Linked DNA regions of Oreochromis niloticus. The protein of the gene in region 1 binds, or shares a complex with, the protein of each later gene. Links are inferred from orthologs where the notes say so. Each region holds a gene or a part of one and is shown in the gene's direction. Other genes may lie near its edges.

Region 1 (3,753 bases):
AAGATGTTAAGATTTTCATTAGGAGTGACCAGAAATTAAAAATCAGAAACTAGAAGTTAGAAATGAGTACATGATAGGGACAGCTCAAGTTGAGCAGTTTGAAGACAAAGTTAGAGAGGCAAGGCTGAGATGGTTTGAACATTGTGCAAACGAGAGGAAGTGGATATACTGGACTAAGGATGTTGAATGTGGAGCTGCCAGGCAAGAGGAAAAGAAGAGAATCGGAGAGGAGGTTCTTGGATGTAGTGAAAGAGGACATGCAGAGGGTTGTGTGACAGAAATGATGCTAAGGATGGGATGAAATGGAGGCAGATGATCTCCTGTGGCAACCCCTAAAGAGAGAAAAAGAAGACTGCATTATATGGTCCAAAAATGCACCACTTACATCACAATGTCACCTGAAACAATCCCTTTTAATGCTGTAAGTCTAGCATTTTGGGGTCTGACTTTTAGGGGGTTGCTGTAGCAAATGACTTTATAGTTTTATTTATTTGTTTTTCTTATTTATGAAATAGAGTAAATAAGTAGTATCTTCTTGCTGTGAATTCATTAAGTATTGTGATTTCTGAAGGGGCCCCGGGCAAAGCCATATTAAGCTATTATCTGGTGGCTGAATGCAAATCCGTTTCAACAAGTAGGGACTTACCACACCTCGTGACTAAGCTGTTGGCTTTGTTGTATAGATTTTTTTTCTTGTTCTTTAGGCGCAAGGGTGGGTTCAGCTGAGGAAATGATGAAGCTGACATTAAGTCTAAAGGTAGAATAGGCTCTACTATGACAAAAACAAAACAAACAGACAAAACAAATAAAAACAATTTACAAAAAATAAGTTTTCTTGGCAGTGAAAGAAAGACAGTCATCAACATTGACCACGCAGAAGTCTTAGTCTAAGATCTACTGAAGGTGTGTGAGCATGAGAATGTGCTATGAGGAAGCTGAAACCGAACTTGATGTGCTTTTATATTGTAGCGTTTCAATAACAGACAGTAAGAATGGGGAGTGAAACTTTGGAGTGAGACTCATCCTGCAGTGTCCCGTACTCCCCTGCAGGAGGCAGCAGTGCATCTTAAAGCATGTTGCGTGGTAGAAATATACCAGAATAAGAAGTGTGGCAGAAGGAACAGAAGAAGAAGAAGATGGCATCCAACGACCAAGCTGAGGCAACAACACAGGTCTCTATATGCATTAAAAGCGGTTTCTTTTTAATGTCTATTTGCGGTAGTGAACTGTTTTAGATATTTCGGGGCTTTAGATGTCTTAACGTTGGCATCACGTGCCTGGAAATGCTCACAAAGTTAGAGATTAGCATGCCTACTAGTTAGCATGCTAGCTAGGTTACGAGTCAAAAGTTGTCACTGAGACATGAGTGTGTTTACAAGTGGGCAGGAAGGGGCGTCATTTAGAGTTGCCATATTGTGTCGAAAATAATAGGGCATAGTTACTAGATTTGCCATTGTCATCAAACGATTCAGCTGTACAATTGCATCTGAGCGTGTAGCCTCGTCTTACTGTGTGCAGATAACTGTAGGTGCAACTCAAAGGTCAGTGTAGGCAAACAAACCTGATGGTTTCTGTTGGGTTGCAGTCACAGTGTTGGCTTTGAACTCACCAGCCCCCCGAAAACAAATGTCACCGAAGGTTTTTATTCATGTATGTCACCCGTGACTTCTGTACTTTTTGTTGCTACAGCTGAGATGCTGTTTTCAGAAAAAAAGATGTTTATATATGCTGTAGAGAAATATAAAAGTTTTTTTTATGTACATAGTTGAGAGCTAACGGCTTTAAGTGTATAGAAAGTGTTTACCAAATGCAGAAACTAATAAAGTCAAGGAACACTGTAATCAAGGAACTTGTGTGGATTGACAGTATTTACAAGTACTTGTAAAGTTATCACTCAGTTTATGAGCAACAGATTTCTACAAATCTACAAATGAATGCTGGCATGTGCCAGTTCAGTACTTTTTTTCTTTTTTGAAAATGCCATTCACGTAGCAGACAGGTCAAATTTCTCAGTGTGGGCAAATTATTTCTGGAAGTAAAAGAATCTGTTAAGCTATAACTATAGTCTAGTTATGTAAGTTGGTAGGCTTTCAAATATATTCTAAAATATTTATCTGACTCCACTTGAATTTGCTGGTTTCATGTTTGGACGTTACTTTTTATATAAGTAGCAATGACACTTTTAATAAAAGTTTCAACGTGACATAAGGCTGGAAGCATTTTCACATTACAGGCATGGGCCTGTTCAAGTCTACAATAGTTTTTCTGTTTCCCCTTCATCTGTGTGAGTTGCTTAGTTACAATAAACACTTTAAATACATTTTTATTGTTTTTAAAATTCTCTAAACAGTAACTGTAGCGTAGGAGTTAGAGCAGCTCATCTACTAATTGTAGGCATACAGACTGTTGCTCAAGTGTGCTTGCCAAAGTATCCTTAAGCAATTTCCTAACCCAAGTTGCTTTCTAATGTGTTCATCAGAATGTGTGTGAATGTTCCATAGAAAGTGCTAAGGCCTAGAAAAAAGTGTTTGTATGAATGGGCAAATGAAGTGCTTTGAGTGCTCAAATGGAAAAGCACTATATAAGAACCAGTCCATTTATATCATTAATGTTTTCTTTCCCAATCTTGTGGAAATGACAAATAGCCTTTTTTTATTTATTTATTTATTTTCCTGCCCATAGAACAAAATCTGTCCATATTTTACTACAAGCACTGCTCCATAAACGTCACAGTGAAATGGATACCCTTCCACAATCAACTTATTTGTGTTGTGAATTTTCCCTTCTTCACAATTTCTACAGTTTCCCATCTGTTACTGTACATAGGGAAATGTTTATGGAGTACAGCATGAAGCTAAACTCTTCACCATGATGAGAACAGGTTAAAAAACTTCTGAGTTATGACTGTAGTTAACTTTTGACAGAAGCTAACAGGAAGTTAGGTAGGTAGTTAGTTTGATGCTTGCAGCTGTTTCTAGAACTCTGTCTTCTGAGTTTATTACGTACCTGCAGAATCATACAGCAGCACAATGCATTCAAAAGCTTTTCAAATGCACGAGAGTTGCTCACATTTATGCACCCGACACCACAGAAGTAACTTCAGTCACAGTAAATTATCCCCAAAATTCAGGCAGTTTTGATCAGGATCTAGCAGCAGATAATATTGTGTTCTGTACTTCACACAGGCTCTGACAGGGTTCAGTCTGTATCTAACGGGGATCCTAATAAATGAAACTATTTTTAAGTGTAAGAGTTGCCTGATCAGTTTGCAAAAATTTGCCAAAATGCGAAAGAGTGCTGAAGCACTTTGCATAAATGTTGTTGATATGCCTGAAAGAAGCCGTGAGGCCTATTATTGTAAAAGTGTCCCATACCTGAATAACCGAATACTATCACTTTAATAGATAGAGCCAGCAACGTTACATACCGTGTGCTTGTAAAGGGCGACCATAGTTACCAAGCTTCAAACTGACATTACTTCTGTTTTCCACTAGATGGCACTCTAATACAAATGTTTGTTTATGTTCCCAGCCTGGCCTTCTGCCTGGAAAAGATGGAGCACGTAGCCCCAGAGAAGAACTGGTAAGAATTTATTCCTTAGTCTGAATTACATGAATTATTGGTAAGGAAACATTGACTGTAACCACAAAAACATTAAATGAAGCTAATGTAAGTAATGTAAGTGAGAGCTGGAAAGAAATAGCAGCTTGGATCAAACGATGCAAATATTAAATTACATTTCCTGTAAAGAAA
Region 2 (3,753 bases), on another chromosome or scaffold:
CTTCTACTTATTTTCATTCCTCTTCTTTCCATTGCATACCTCCATCTCTCCAGGCTCTCTTCCACATGCTGCCTGCTCTCAATATAGATCACAATGTTATCCACGAACATCGACGTCCACAGAGACTCCAGGCTGACCTCATCTGCCAACCTGTCCAAACAAGAAGGTGCTCAGAGCTAAACCCCGATATAATCCCACCCCCACCTTCAACCCATCTATCAGTTAAACTGCACACATCACCACTGTCTCACTGTCCTTATACGTGTCCCGCACCACCCTCACACACTTCTCTGCCACTCCTGACTTCATTCTATCACACGCTTTGGCTAGATCCACAGTTCAAGTCCTTTTAATCTTCCCTATACTTCTCTATCAGGACTCTCAAATAAAACAACTGTAGTTTAATGTTTGCGAGTTTTAAACTGACTAAATGTACAGAGCAGTGTGGTTTCTTATCAATGACATTTACAGATACAGAATTTGTCCATTGTAATAATAAGAACAACGAGGTGAAGATGGGATAAACACCATGTCCAAACAAAATCTGTAAAATATTTATAATTTAATAAAAGTAGGATACTTTAAAATAAAGACAATCTCAAAGAACAATGAAATAAAGGCAAATTGTACAGTGAAAATGACACAAAAGGGTGACCACAATTAAATAGAAAACATTTAAAAAGTCACATAAATTCTAATAAAAACAGAAATTAAATACAGGAAGTATTATGTAAACATTTGTGCTTTTGTGTGCGCGTTTTCCATAACACTAAACAACACTCCAGAGTAAAATATTTAACCGGCCACGAGGCGGCGCTACATTTAAAATCAGACTCGGGTGAGTGACGTAGAGGTGTTCGCGACATTTTTACAGCAGAAGCGGCAGTTTCCGCGCTGGGTTGGAGAAGGCAACATCATGGCGTCAGGAACAGGAGGGTCGTCCGATGGACACGATGCAGAGCTGGAAGAATTATTAGACAGTAAGACTCGGCATTAATATTTTATCAGTGTGTGTATTTCTGAACACAGCAGTGGGATTTTCGTGCAGCTTCGTGGTGTCGCCGTGTCCTTTTTTGTTGTTGTTGTGCTTCCACCGTGTCAGGGCTTAGCTCAACGTCAGGTGCTCCTGCCCGGGTCCCAAAGATCTGCAGAAGTAATGTTCAAGAAGAAACGTCAGCACGAATCGCTTCATGTCTCTGCTGTCAGATAACTTTATCCGGGTTCAGTTTGTGCCCTTCATCGTGTATCTGCACAGAACACGGAGTCAATTTCCTTAACGACATATTTTGTTCAAGGCAAATTTTCAAAACAACCCAGCTTAGGATTTAAAGTGTTTTATTTTTCCAAATATGTATAAAGGCTAAATTATATACAGTTTTATTTTCTCAACAGTAGGTTTTCAATATAAAAGACATTCATAACAATAATAAAACAATCAGAAAAGGGCTAAAAATCTTCAAACCACTTTATATATTTTTCCTTCAATTTAAAGTCATCATTTGTCTTACATAAGACAACATATTATTGTGTTATGTGCACCAAATTCTGACCCTTCCATCCAAATGTTGCAGCAGAAATCAAGACTCATCAGACCAGTCAAACCTTTTCTAAGCTTCTAGTTTTCAAATTAGTTCTTCGTTGACAGGAATTTCACCTGGCGTGGTCTTATGCCCCTGTAGCCCTTGTACTTCAAAGTTTGATGTATTTTGCATTCAGAGATGCTTTTCTGTGTTGACTGGTTGCATTGAGTGGTTATTTAAGTTAATGTTGCCTTCCTGTCAGCTCGAAGCTTCCTGGCTATTCTCTGACCTCTGACATCAACATGACATTTTCACCCAGAGAACTGCTGCTCACTGGATCTTTTCTCTTTTCACACCATTCTCTTTAAACCGCAGTGATGGTTGTGTGGGAACATCCCAGTAAATCAGCAGTTTCTGAACAACCATTTCATATTCTAAGTTACTTAAATAACCTTTCTTTGCCACTCTTGTGGTCAGTTTAAGATTAAGCAGGTTGTTGTGTTTTGCTAATTAAAGGTCAAAATGAGTGTTTGAAGAATGAAGTGATTGTTGATTAATTGATTAGTAAAAAAAAAAAAAAGTCACTGCCTTTGTGTTTTAAAATGTGAATATATTATGCTTTTGCTAATTTTCTTTAATAATGAAAATAATCCTTTTTTATTTTGAACTCAGAATGAGTTGATTAAAAACAAGAATTTTATAGAATAGACAATTTTATAGTTCAGAAAAATTGCTGCAGCATCATATGCTGCAGCAGGATGTCATATGCTGACATCCTGCCCATCAGTTATCCCAGTTATCCCATAGCAATGGGACAAACCCATAGCAATGGGATAACTGGATAATTATTTGTCAGTGAATATGAAACCATTAAATGCATTTTGACTGAATTGGTTCTAATGTCATCGCTTTCTTTCAGGTGCGTTGGATGACTTTGAGAAGGCGTCCGTCCCTCCAGCCCCTGAACCTGCAGCCGCTTCGTCCTCAGCCAGCAGTGGTGCACAAAAGGTGCTTGCGAAATAATTTAGAATAGAATGTTTAGAATAGAAGGCCAGCAGCAGCTTCCGGTTCAGATTTTTCTGCCTCAGGACACGGAGGAAGTGCGGCCGCTGCTGGGCCTTCTTTACCGGGGTGATGGTGTTGTGGGTCCAGGTGCCCAGAAACCTGAAGGTGGAGACAGATTCCACCCGTTCTCCATTTATAATCAGTGGGGAATGGACCTGTCTGTGCCTCCTGAAGTCCATTATGAGTTCTTTTGTTTTAAGGACGTTTAGCTTCAGGTTATTTTCTAAGCACCAGAGGGACAAGTTCTCTACATCCGTCCTGTATGCTCTCTCATCTCCATCAGAGTTGAGTCCAACCATGGTGGTGTCCCGGTGGCAAATTTTTAAATAAAAGTTTGGCTAATAGTGAATACCAATACTTTTTTTTTTTTTTTTTCAGTTTTTTCAGAATCAGAATCAGAATCGTGTTTATTGGCCAAGTATATGTGCAGACAAATACAAGGAATTTGGTTCCGGTAGATGGTGGCTATCAAGCACAGCAATGTAAAACACACACACACACACACACACGTCTATATATACATTACACATGCATACACATACATACACAAAGCTGTGTAAACCAACTATAAATAACTAAACTTATATACATAAAATACAGAAATGAAATGAGGTGGAATGAATACTACAGAATGTACATAAGGTGCAGTTGCAGTCTGGCAGTGGGGAGCAGTGTGACAGGTCAACTGTTTAGGAGGGAGATGGCGAGGGGAAAGAAACTGTTCCTGTGTCGGGTGGTCCTGGTCTGCAGGCTTCTGTACCGTCTGCCAGAGGGCAGTTGTGTATTACTGTTGTGTATTCCCCATAATGTTAGGAAAACTAGGAAATGTTGATTTTAAAGAAAGAACTGAGACAATTTGAAGTCTTTTCAGTCCTTCATCACTTTTTTTTTAACATTTCACCACCAAAAAAACTGAGGTCACACAACAGATAAACATCGCAACTTTCTTATTTCCTGATATCAGTAAATATCAGTATTTGCAGATGGCAATATTTGACTGATAAAGCAGTGCTTTTCTGTCTTTTTCTGTTAATTTTCTATCCAAAACTGCAAACTAGAAAGTGTCGGTGTTATTTTAGTTTTGAGCTTTCAAATGTTGGTTCTTTTACTATTAGGAAGCAAGACTGCTGCAGGTTTACATCAAGTGTAAGCTAGAGTCGGGTCTAGA

What was found.
Region 2: the proteins of pex14 (region 1) and pex19 are in contact, whole or in part, in an NMR structure (PDB 2W85), measured with the Homo sapiens proteins. The link is inferred for Oreochromis niloticus from reciprocal best matches to the Homo sapiens genes PEX14 and PEX19. Residues at the interface, in NP_004556.1 of Homo sapiens: Leu28, Thr31, Ala32, Lys34, Phe35, Asn38, Ser39, Arg40, Val41, Ser44, Thr48, Phe52, Lys56, Leu58; in NP_002848.1 of Homo sapiens: Gln67, Phe70, Phe71, Leu74, Phe75, Ser77.

The regions. Positions count from the first base shown.
Region 1 is NC_031984.2:22,474,707-22,478,459, reverse strand, and holds the start of pex14 (peroxisomal membrane protein PEX14), read left to right. Parts: upstream 1-1,031; 5' UTR 1,032-1,136; coding exon 1,137-1,172; intron 1,173-3,531; coding exon 3,532-3,582; intron 3,583-3,753. UniProt on the Homo sapiens protein: Component of the PEX13-PEX14 docking complex, a translocon channel that specifically mediates the import of peroxisomal cargo proteins bound to PEX5 receptor.
Region 2 is NC_031982.2:26,257,162-26,260,914, forward strand, and holds the start of pex19 (peroxisomal biogenesis factor 19), read left to right. Parts: upstream 1-848; 5' UTR 849-916; coding exon 917-980; intron 981-2,439; coding exon 2,440-2,528; intron 2,529-3,753. UniProt on the Homo sapiens protein: Necessary for early peroxisomal biogenesis. Acts both as a cytosolic chaperone and as an import receptor for peroxisomal membrane proteins (PMPs).